Caenorhabditis elegans: one gene and its partner. The gene in region 2 interacts genetically with the main gene of each other region. Each region holds a gene or a part of one and is shown on either strand. Other genes may lie near its edges.

What was found.
Region 1: of rde-1 (region 2) and hmp-2, a change in one rescues a mutant of the other (synthetic rescue), as found in Caenorhabditis elegans (one study listed by BioGRID).

The regions. Positions count from the first base shown.
Region 1 is NC_003279.8:14,736,875-14,743,187, forward strand, and holds hmp-2 (Armadillo/beta-catenin-like repeat protein), read left to right. Parts: upstream 1-2,007; coding exon 2,008-2,063; intron 2,064-2,694; coding exon 2,695-2,756; intron 2,757-2,813; coding exon 2,814-3,476; intron 3,477-3,583; coding exon 3,584-3,748; intron 3,749-4,088; coding exon 4,089-5,080; intron 5,081-5,471; coding exon 5,472-5,648; 3' UTR 5,649-5,782; downstream 5,783-6,313. Other genes in the region: K05C4.7 (Armadillo repeat-containing protein 1), read left to right, coding at 829-921, 972-1,748; K05C4.5 (WD_REPEATS_REGION domain-containing protein), read left to right, coding at 5,891-6,003. UniProt on the Caenorhabditis elegans protein: Required for cell migration during body enclosure and cell shape changes during body elongation. Plays a role in recruitment of the cadherin protein hmr-1 to adherens junctions.
Region 2 is NC_003283.11:9,987,406-9,993,495, reverse strand, and holds rde-1 (Piwi domain-containing protein), read left to right. Parts: upstream 1-1,853; 5' UTR 1,854-1,881; coding exon 1,882-1,938; intron 1,939-1,993; coding exon 1,994-2,193; intron 2,194-2,235; coding exon 2,236-2,548; intron 2,549-2,592; coding exon 2,593-2,648; intron 2,649-2,702; coding exon 2,703-2,881; intron 2,882-2,928; coding exon 2,929-3,145; intron 3,146-3,191; coding exon 3,192-3,803; intron 3,804-3,843; coding exon 3,844-3,958; intron 3,959-4,002; coding exon 4,003-4,611; intron 4,612-4,672; coding exon 4,673-5,155; intron 5,156-5,231; coding exon 5,232-5,453; 3' UTR 5,454-5,580; downstream 5,581-6,090. Other genes in the region: trpp-6 (Trafficking protein particle complex subunit 6B), read right to left, coding at 790-858, 904-1,044, 1,093-1,170, 1,220-1,321, 1,366-1,437, 1,494-1,589; MYG1 protein C27H6.8, read left to right, coding at 5,744-5,850, 5,946-6,090.

The DNA.
Region 1 (6,313 bases), on a different chromosome or scaffold from region 2:
CCAGCAGCTTCTGGCGTCACATCAGTTATCAGGAGAGAAGCTTGAAACAAATGCAACCGAAGAAGACATGAAAATTTCCTTTTTTTTTACTGTTACAATACCTATTTCGTAAATTATATATATATATATATATATATCTCGTTATCTCTCCTTATATTATTTAATCCCAACATTGTATTCAGTTTCATTGGCTTAGCAAGTTTTCGATTGAAAATTTTTTTTTTCAGCCAAATACCGATTTTTCATATTTTTTTCGCATTTTTGATTGATGTTTCTGTGATTATTGGTTTTCCTATGTTGTTTTAAAAGGGTTTGTAATGTATCTTCGCTGAAATGTTTGTTTCATATTCAAAAACGGCAATGTTTCCACTTTCCCACTCGGTATCTTTTAGTTTTCAGGCTGCAGCTTCAAAAAATTGAAAATGGCGAAAATTTTAGGGTGGAATTTGTTTTCTTTTTTTTTTTCATATTTTACATAATACTATTTTCGTAATTTATTTTTTTCCCTCAAAATGTGCATGATGCGTTAAATTTTTTTTGGCATAGACTTCGCGTCCCAAATGGCGAGTAATAATTATTGAGAAGGAAAACTGTGTGCGAGCCCTTTGCAAAATGTGTGCGCACCACTTGCGGTATGCCTCATCGTGTGACTCCGCCCACATTTTCTTTTGTTTCCATTTTCTCTTTTCCCCTCAATTTATCGATTTTTATCCACTTTTTGTTTTTCACATTTAGAATTGAGTATTTCATCGCTATTCTGGTTGTTTGCGTTAAAGTTTGTCGTTCAAAATCGAAATTTTCGTTAAAAATCAAGGTTTTTATTTCAGAATGACTGAAGTCGTAAATGCCGACAAAATAAAAACGATTCGCGCGTACTACAAGCTGTGCCAAAAGCCGGAGAATCGAGCAGTCGTGCTTAAGGTAAGTCGTTAGCTCACTCAGGATTCACATGAAAATTAAATTTCTTCCAGGACAAAACATTTTTCCACACTCTCCCAACGCTCCTCAAGGACGAAAGCTCCGATGTCATCAGATACACGGTTAAAATCCTCGTTTTGCTCACAGAGCAGTCGGGGAACATCGAGCAACTGCTGAAATCCGCAGATTTACTTCCAGCATTGTCGGAAGCCTGCGAAAATATCACAAATCCCAGTGTCAACTATAACTTGGTCCTTGTCTCGAGTAGGATTCGAGTAGTGAAGAATTCGCTGGATGCCAAAAGAGCCGAGAAAGAGCCTCTAGCCGATGCGATCAAAGAGCTCGACAAGGGCGGAACTCTTCACCGAAAATTCGTTGGAAGAAAGTCAAAGCAGATTATTATGGAATTCGATGCGGAGGAATTCGATGAAACGAAGAAGCTGTCAGTTGAGAGAGGCCTTCTGAAGAAAAAAGGAGTAATCAGTGTATATATAACCGAGCAGAACTCAATTCCACGCGCCGTGCTCCGCACAATCCCGACAATCGAAGCCAAGGACATTGCGCAGTCCGTTTTCGCCGCCGCCGGATTCGAGTACGTCGCGCAGTTAGTGAAAGTGAACGGAATCGACGAGAAATTCGAGTTTTACGCGTCAGAGATGGGCAAAATCACGGAAAACTCGAAAGATTACCCCGAATATTTGGATGATGATGTGCTTCACGTGGATCCGGCAAGTTGTGTGATAACTAATGAGATGGCTGCCCATGGAAGTGGTCAAGAGGGCGGATGGTTCAGTTCGATCACTTCATTCGTCAAAACTTCCCTCTGGTGATGGAAGGAATTCTCGGATTATCTCGGAAAATCTCGAAAAAAAATGTATTAAAGTACTACGGTTTCTTCTTTGTTATCTCAATATTTTCTTTTTTCTCCTGTTTCTCGTTTTTTTTGAGATCTCTTTCTGGTATTATCACCGCACAGGCATATAAATCGTTTCACACTGGTTTTTAAATCCTCGTATTCTTGATTTTTATGTGTTTTTAAGCTGTTTTAACCAGCTCTAATTATCTATTCGGCAGTTTCAGATTCGAAAAATGCGATTATTCTCATATTTGGACGGTTGCGGTACCAAAAATAGAGGAATTTATCGGTATAAAATATCCTTAAAAATCCAAAGTCCTAGTGAAAATCTTGTTTTTGCGTTTTCATCTAGTTTCCGATTCGAAAAAACCCATTTTTCTAAATTTTCTACCTGAAACCACGTATTTTGACAGTTGCAACACCAAAAATAGAATAATTTTCCTTTAAAATCGCCACAGAAGCACAAATTCCAAGTGATAATCTTTATTTTGCGTTTTCAGCTAGTTTCCGATTCAAAAAATGCGATTTTTCTCGATTTTCTACCTGAAACCTCGTATTTTGACGATTGCAGTATCAAAATAGTGGAATGTTTTTCAAAATAGCCATAAAAGTAAAAATTCCTTTTTAGCTAGTATCTGATTCGAAAAATGCGATTATTCCTCAATTTTCAACTAGAAATCCTATTTTTTTTTAAATTTTCTACTCTAAATTTCGATTTTTCGCACTTTTCCACTCGAAATAAATTTATTAAATTTAAATTTAATTTTAAAAAAATCTTAGTTTTTGTGGATTTTTCCTGTTTAAAATGACTTTTCTCTGCTCCCACATGAAATTTGATAGTTTCAGCACCTAAAATATCGAATTTCTTTGCATTTTCTCGTCTAAAACTCACCATTTCCTTTAAAAAGTATAATTTTCAGTAGCTGTGAACTCCCAACAACCATGCTTCTTCACTCTACCAACTCTTATTCGATATTCACTGGTAAAACACAAAAAAATACAATTTTTTCGAAATTTCTTCATTTAAATTAATTTCCAGACCATGAAGTCGAAACTCGAACCTCTAGAATCCGCTCAGCGATGTTCCCCGACTGGATTCCACCAACTTCTGCTGCAGAAGCCACAAATTCAACTACAAGCATCGTCGAAATGATGCAAATGCCAACTCAACAGCTGAAGCAATCAGTTATGGATCTTCTAACCTACGAAGGATCAAACGATATGTCAGGACTCTCGCTTCCGGATCTAGTGAAGCTTATGTGCGATCATGATGAGTCAGTGGTTGCTAGAGCTGTTCATCGAGCTTATATGCTCTCAAGGGAAGATCCGAACTTCTTCAATGCGCCGGGATTCGATCATCGATCTTTTGTGGAAGCTCTGATGGCTGCGTCGAAGAGTTCCAACGTGAATGTCCGTCGGAATGCGATTGGAGCATTGTCTCACATGTCTGAGCAACGTGGAGGACCTCTTCTGATCTTCAGAAGCGGAGGGCTTGCTGAAATCATTCGAATGCTCTATGATTCACTGGAATCAGTTGTTCACTATGCTGTGACAACACTTCGGAACCTTCTGATGCATGTTTCTGATTCCAGAGCTCAAGCGAGAGCTCTCAACGCCGTTGAGGCGCTAACTCCGCACCTTCATAAGACGAATCCGAAGCTGCTGGCTCAAGTGGCGGATGGGTTGTATTTCCTGTTGATCGGTAAGGATTCACTGGAAAAATCAAGAATTTTGTACAAATTTGCATTTTTTAAAGCTATAAATTCAAATTTTCCACTCTAAAATTTCAAAAATCGGTCAATTTTGCAGACGATGCTCCATCGAAGATCACATTCCTATCACTGTTGGGACCACAGATCTTGGTTTCGATTCTTCGCGAGTACTCGGATCATCGGAAGCTCATCTATACCGTCGTCCGTTGCATTCGATCCCTGTCCGTTTGTCCGAGCAACAAACCGGCGTTGATCAGTCTTGGTACATGGATGTTTTGATTAAAAACTATTTTATATCGCATTTTTAGAGATATTTTCAGGTTTTTATCCACTGAAAAGCTGGAAATTTGAGATTTTTAGCTGAAAATACTTGAAATTCGCAGCTATTTCGAGTGTTTTGAAGCAATTTTTAAACATTTTCCTTTATCTTTCACGAAATTCCAACAAATTTCAAAATTTTTGTTCCGGTGGTTCAAAGTTTCGCTGAAACCTCCAATTTTACCCTCTTTCAGCAGGAAATTACTTTGAAATTGCGCGTTTTTTGAGAATTTTCCAATAAAAAAGTTCAGAAATTTAAACTTTTCAATATTAATTTTTTCTAGGCTGCCTTCCTGCTCTCTACGTGGAGCTCTGCACCGCAAAAGACGAGCGATCCCAGACGGCGATTCTAGTGGCGATGAGAAATCTGTCGGATTCTGCGACAAACGAGGAAAATCTCACTCAACTGATCATCAAGCTTCTCGAAATCATTCGTGTCGCCAACGATGGAATGACTGCCTGCGCGTGTGGAACATTGAGCAATCTCACCTGCAATAACACTAGAAACAAGCAAACCGTGTGTTCTCACGGGGGAATCGATGCTCTCGTCACCGCGATCCGCCGACTACCTGAAGTTGAAGAAGTCACCGAACCGGCTCTCTGTGCTCTTCGGCACTGTACTGCCAGGCACTCACTGGCTGAAGAAGCTCAAAGTGAGCTGAGATTCTGTCAAGCATTCCCAGTGATTTTGGATCAGCTGGAAACTCTTCGTACTCCAGTTATCAAGGCAGCTCTCGGAGTTATTAGAAATAGTGCACTTCTTCAAACAAATCTTATCGAGTTGACACAAGAACAAACTGCAAATGGGCATACAGCTGTGTCACTGACAATGGATATCTTGAGAAGAGCTATCACGGCGATTGAGGAGAATCCTGATATTGCTGTAGATGGAGTTCCAATGTGGGGAGTCATCGAAGGAGCTGTCTCGGCTCTTCATCAGCTCGCGAATCATCCGGCAGTCGCTGCAGCATGCTGTGATGATATTGGACAAGTCGGAAATCCAGAATGTCCACCATTCTTGGATCTTCTCCATCGTCTTCTGGCTCATCCGAGACTCGGATCCATGGATGATGAAGTTCTCGAACGCGAGATTCTTGGGCTTCTCTATCAGTTGAGCAAGCGGCCAGACGGAGCCCGTGCTGTTGAGAGTACTGGAGTTAGTGCTCTTTTAATGGAATCTCGTGGCTCACAGTACAAATCAGTCGTCACTTATGCGAATGGAGTGTTGAGTAATTTGAAGAGAGGAGATTCAGCTGCCATCATGAATATGTCTAATGTGAGGAATTAGGAAAAAAAATAAATTTTCCGTAAAAAAACCGAAAAATCGAAAGAAAACTTTTGAGCCACCACGGATTTAAGATATTGTGGGATTCCGGATCGTTGAAAAAATGTGTTCTATGTGTTGGCACGGTGATCCGGAAATGGTAGATCTAGAATCCCACCGGATCTTGAATCCGTGGGGCCTCAAAGTTTTTTAAAAATTCAATGTTTTAATGAAATATTGTCCATATGGACAAATGTTGATGAGAAAAACCATATAATTTTGTTCTAAAAACAAGGAAAATAGTTCAAATTTTCAGCTTTTTTTCGAAAAATAGAAAAAAAAATTTCAACATAAATTTCCGATTTTCGAGCGAGCCATTCATGAATTAATTCCGAATTTTCAGTCGTACGACTACGAGATGAGTGGAAGTGCTGCGGATTGGCAACGTGATGGGCTGGAACGAGAGCTTTTCGCTGAAATGTATCCGACAAACGACGGCGGACACTCGGAATCCATTAATATGGCGTTGAACAACTCACAAATGCGCCCTAATCACAATTGGTACGATACCGATTTGTAATTAATTTATCTTCTCGTATTTTTGCATTTTTTACACATAATCTGCTGAATATATCCACTGGGAATTATTATTCATGGTTTTAAATTTAATTTTTGATACTTTCAATATATTTATATTATAAATGTAATTTTATACTTCCTACTATCTAATGTTATACGTATCTTTTTTTTGGTTCTTCGGTTCCTTTTTCCTATATTTTTTCAAAAAAAAAATTTCAGACAATTTAAACGAAAAATTTCCAGATGAGTATCTGCCTTGAAAAGCAGAAAATCCGATGCGGAATGATAAGCCGGACGGCTCGACACATTGCCATCGATGAGAATAGTGGAAAAATGGCAATTGTGAGGAAATCTAGGTTTGTACGGAGGATTTATTGGAAAAAATGATTTTTGAAATTAAAAATTAAAGGTGGAGTAGAGTCAAAACAAATTTTTTGCTTAAAATGACAGAAAATATACCCAAATAACCGATTATAACTGAAAAAATGTTCTAAATTTTTTATGATTTTTCAATTTTTCAAAAATTGAATTCCCGCGAAAATAAGTGACGTAATTTGTTTATATTCTCGCGTTTTCTGGCTAAATTCTTTGGTTTTTCTTGATTTTTCTTACACATATTTAGTTTTAAACTCTGTTTCTCAAATTTTCAGGTACTTTTCCGTGAAT
Region 2 (6,090 bases):
AAATATATTTATTTATTGAAAAAATACATTTCAACAAAAACAAAATGTTATTATCAAAATATAAAAACTGTCACCTCAAATTTGACTGCAGCAACGCGCGCGAAATTTTTGCTCTCGATTCCGCATGGCGTAAAAACACCTGTAACCACGGCCCCGCGGGTGGTGACAGAAACCGGAGACGAGAAAATGCGAAGATACAACGCAAAAACTGATGTTTCTAGCGTTTTCTCTTCTCCCGCTTCTGTCATCACCCGCGAGACCGTGGTCCCAACTGTTTTTACGGCATGCGGAATCGAGAGCGAAAATTTCGCGCGCGTTGCTGCAGTCAAATTTGAGGTGACAGTTTTTATATTTTGATAATAACAAATCGTGAGAAGAACTATGAAAAGTCGATGAAAATTCCACGAGTTTTAACTTACAGTAACCTTTGAAGGAGCACGCCCGCTTGTGTTTTTGACGCAAAGAATCGCGACTGTGTAACTACTTGTTTTCGTTATAAAATTATTCTTTTTATTCACTTTTGTATTTAGCATTGGAATGGGACCGGCTGCAGCCTTTATTGGAGCCGAACTTGCTCCACCAAATTTCCAAAAATGCAAAACTAGGTTTTTGGTTTCCTGTAACCAAAATATAGTCTTCGGTGGGAATATATGAACTTTTTCAATTATAATGTTTTCTTCTATTTCTATTACTTCGATGTCATCAAGGTTACCGGTGTTCTTTATTTATTCTCAAAAATTAAATAAACTATATACAAAAATCCATAAATTAATTGACATGTGAAAAATACTATTTTGGTTGAACTTGAATATGAAACTTCACAGAAGGTACACTTTCGATTGTTGGAGTTACAATTGCCTGAAACGAACAAACGTAGATTACGCAAAAAAAGAAAGAACTCACTCTAATATTAAGACCAGCAAGGGCTCCGCGAAGTAAACCACATGGAAAAGCAAGGAAATATCCACTTTCTTTCACGTATTGATCACCTTCGGGAAAACTTCGCAGCGTTGTAAATCTTCCATCTTGAACAACATAGACACCCTGAAAGATATAAGTTTTGGAAATAAAATCGTTTGAAAAATAATATACCTGATGATTTGTGCGGAGATTATCGACTTGCTTGCCAAACACTGATGACCAGAAATCCTTGCAAATGAACTTTACAATCTGATTTTTTTAAATTACAACCGGATAAAACTTGTCACAAAATTCTTACTTCTAACTCAGTGACCAATTTCGGAGACTCTTTTGATACTTTTTCCACGAGCTGCCTTCCAACTCTGAATCCGATCGACTCAAGTTTAGTCTCTGCATTTGCCTGAAGAACACACATTGGAAGACGTATTCTAACATTTAACTTACGTGAAGAAAAGCTTTTTGAACTAAGCTTTCGTACTTTTCAATATCAGCTGGACCATTCAAGTTATCGATAATCTGAAAAGTGATTTCCAATAAAATAAATTGAAACTCAGAAATCAAGAAAAACTCACTGTTCCAAACTTTTCCTTTGCTTCACATCGATCTTTTTCACTTTCCAAAGTTGAACGGATAATTTCCAAATGTAAAATATCAAAAGGAAACGCCATAAAAAATTTCTTGAAGGGAAATAAAAAATAAATAAATTGGAAAGAGTGGTTCTGCAAACACGGGGACGAAGTATTGCGGAGGAAACAGCGCAAATGACGACATTCCTCATGCTAAAAATATTTTCAAAAAACATTTTTTCTCGCTTAAAAATGCCTTGTAACACTGTTCAACTTAATTAGAGATTAAAACTTAACTTTTTCTATCTTCAATTATCAAATATACTTCTTTTTTAATCATAAACGTTGTTTATTGGTAATTTCTAGATAATCAACAGCCACAAAGTGATGAAACATGTCCTCGAATTTTCCCGAATTGGAAAAAGGATTTTATCGTCATTCTCTCGATCCGGTATGATCAATTATTAGCAGCTATAAGATATATAAGTTTGATATTAATATTATAGGAGATGAAATGGCTTGCGAGGCCCACTGGTAAATGCGACGGCAAATTCTATGAGAAGAAAGTACTTCTTTTGGTAAATTGGTTCAAGTTCTCCAGCAAAATTTACGATCGGGAATACTACGAGTATGAAGTGAAAATGACAAAGGAAGTATTGAATAGAAAACCAGGAAAACCTTTCCCAAAAAAGACAGAAATTCCAATGTAAGTGCTTGTAAATTAGTCAAAACTAATTTTATTTTTCAGTCCCGATCGTGCAAAACTCTTCTGGCAACATCTTCGGCATGAGAAGAAGCAGACAGATTTTATTCTCGAAGACTATGTTTTTGATGAAAAGGACACTGTTTATAGTGTTTGTCGACTGAACACTGTCACATCAAAAATGCTGGTTTCGGAGAAAGTAGTAAAAAAGGATTCGGAGAAAAAAGATGAAAAGGATTTGGAGAAAAAAATCTTATACACAATGATACTTACCTATCGTAAAAAATTTCACCTGAACTTTAGTCGAGAAAATCCGGAAAAAGACGAAGAAGCGAATCGGAGTTACAAATTCCTGAAGGTTTATGAAAAACACGCATTATAACAAACAAAATTAGCTTTCAGAATGTTATGACCCAGAAAGTTCGCTACGCGCCTTTTGTGAACGAGGAGATTAAAGTGTGAGTTGCAATAATAATAATAATAATCACCTCAACTCATTTATATATTTTAAGACAATTCGCGAAAAATTTTGTGTACGATAATAATTCAATTCTGCGAGTTCCTGAATCGTTTCACGATCCAAACAGATTCGAACAATCATTAGAAGTAGCACCAAGAATCGAAGCATGGTTTGGAATTTACATTGGAATCAAAGAATTGTTCGATGGTGAACCTGTGCTCAATTTTGCAAGTAAGTTTGAGAAACTGCGATAAAAAATCATGTGATTTTTGTTGAAGTTGTCGATAAACTATTCTACAATGCACCGAAAATGTCTCTTCTGGATTATCTTCTCCTAATTGTCGACCCCCAGTCGTGTAACGATGATGTACGAAAAGATCTTAAAACAAAACTGATGGCGGGAAAAATGACAATCAGACAAGCCGCGCGGCCAAGAATTCGACAATTATTGGAAAATTTGAAGCTGAAATGCGCAGAAGTTTGGGATAACGAAATGTTAGTTTAAATTATTCAAACAATTAATATACAAATTGATTTTCAGGTCGAGATTGACAGAACGACATCTGACATTTCTAGATTTGTGCGAGGAAAACTCTCTTGTTTATAAAGTCACTGGTAAATCGGACAGAGGAAGAAATGCAAAAAAGTACGATACTACATTGTTCAAAATCTATGAGGAAAACAAAAAGTTCATTGAGTTTCCCCACCTACCACTAGTCAAAGTTAAAAGTGGAGCAAAAGAATACGCTGTACCAATGGAACATCTTGAAGTTCATGAGAAGCCACAAAGATACAAGAATCGAATTGATCTGGTGATGCAAGACAAGTTTCTAAAGCGAGCTACACGAAAACCTCACGACTACAAAGAAAATACCCTAAAAATGCTGAAAGAATTGGATTTCTCTTCTGAAGAGCTAAATTTTGTTGAAAGATTTGGATTATGCTCCAAACTTCAGATGATCGAATGTCCAGGAAAGGTTTTGAAAGAGCCAATGCTTGTGAATAGTGTAAATGAACAAATTAAAATGACACCAGTGATTCGTGGATTTCAAGAAAAACAATTGAATGTGGTTCCCGAAAAAGAACTTTGCTGTGCTGTTTTTGTAGTCAACGAAACAGCGGGAAATCCATGCTTAGAAGAGAACGACGTTGTGTAAGTGTTTTCTACGTAGATTATTCCGAAATATTTTCAGTAAGTTCTACACCGAACTAATTGGTGGTTGCAAGTTCCGTGGAATACGAATTGGTGCCAATGAAAACAGAGGAGCGCAATCTATTATGTACGACGCGACGAAAAATGAATATGCCGTAAGTTTCAGAAAATTGAAAGTTTTTAAATATCATATTTACAGTTCTACAAAAATTGTACACTAAATACCGGAATCGGTAGATTTGAAATAGCCGCAACAGAAGCGAAGAATATGTTTGAACGTCTTCCCGATAAAGAACAAAAAGTCTTAATGTTCATTATCATTTCCAAACGACAACTGAATGCTTACGGTTTTGTGAAACATTATTGCGATCACACCATCGGTGTAGCTAATCAGCATATTACTTCTGAAACAGTCACAAAAGCTTTGGCATCACTAAGGCACGAGAAAGGATCAAAACGAATTTTCTATCAAATTGCATTGAAAATCAACGCGAAATTAGGAGGTATTAACCAGGAGCTTGACTGGTCAGAAATTGCAGAAATATCACCAGAAGAAAAAGAAAGACGGAAAACAATGCCATTAACTATGTATGTTGGAATTGATGTAACTCATCCAACCTCCTACAGTGGAATTGATTATTCTATAGCGGCTGTAGTAGCGAGTATCAATCCAGGTGGAACTATCTATCGAAATATGATTGTGACTCAAGAAGAATGTCGTCCCGGTGAGCGTGCAGTGGCTCATGGACGGGAAAGAACAGATATTTTGGAAGCAAAGTTCGTGAAATTGCTCAGAGAATTCGCAGAAGTGAGTTGTCTTGAGTATTTAAAAGATCTCTGGGATTTTTAATTTTTTTGTAAACTTTCAGAACAACGACAATCGAGCACCAGCGCATATTGTAGTCTATCGAGACGGAGTTAGCGATTCGGAGATGCTACGTGTTAGTCATGATGAGCTTCGATCTTTAAAAAGCGAAGTAAAACAATTCATGTCGGAACGGGATGGAGAAGATCCAGAGCCGAAGTACACGTTCATTGTGATTCAGAAAAGACACAATACACGATTGCTTCGAAGAATGGAAAAAGATAAGCCAGTGGTCAATAAAGATCTTACTCCTGCTGAAACAGATGTCGCTGTTGCTGCTGTTAAACAATGGGAGGAGGATATGAAAGAAAGCAAAGAAACTGGAATTGTGAACCCATCATCCGGAACAACTGTGGATAAACTTATCGTTTCGAAATACAAATTCGATTTTTTCTTGGCATCTCATCATGGTGTCCTTGGTACATCTCGTCCAGGACATTACACTGTTATGTATGACGATAAAGGAATGAGCCAAGATGAAGTCTATGTAAGCGTTTTGAATAGCAGTTAGCGATTTTAGGATTTTGTAATCCGCATATAGTTATTATAAAAAAATGTTTCAGAAAATGACCTACGGACTTGCTTTTCTCTCTGCTAGATGTCGAAAACCCATCTCGTTGCCTGTTCCGGTTCATTATGCTCATTTATCATGTGAAAAAGCGAAAGAGCTTTATCGAACTTACAAGGAACATTACATCGGTGACTATGCACAGCCACGGACTCGACACGAAATGGAACATTTTCTCCAAACTAACGTGAAGTACCCTGGAATGTCGTTCGCATAACATTTTGCAAAAGTGTCGCCCGTTTCAATCAAATTTTTCAATTGTAGATATTGTACTTACTTTTTTTTAAAGCCCGGTTTCAAAAATTCATTCCATGACTAACGTTTTCATAAATTACTTGAAATTTATTCTGTGTTTATTATTTATTACCTCTAAATTTCGTTTTGAACGTGAGCATCATATCTTAAACTACTTATTGATAACGGTTTCATAAAGATAGGTAATTTGATTTTTAAAATGTTTTCTCTCTGCAGGTGATTTCACGACTTCTTGGACAGTTCGGTCACAAGATGACATCGCTCATTGGTACTCACTCCGGAAAATTCCATTGCGATGAGGCTTTTGCTTGTTTCATGCTGAAACAATTGCCACAATTCAAGGATCATTCGATTTTAAGGTAATTCGATTTTTCATGTTTATCAAGTTTGCGAAATGACCCACTTTTTTATTAGGATTTATTTTATAGCTGAGTTCTGAAATCTGTAATTTCAGAACCCGTGACGCTGCTCAACTGGAGAAGTGTGATATTATCGTCGATGTCGGTGGAATCTTTGATCATTCAAAACAACGATACGATCATCATCAACGTGGATTCACTGATACCATGCGTACTCTAGAGAAGCTTAACTTTGATACA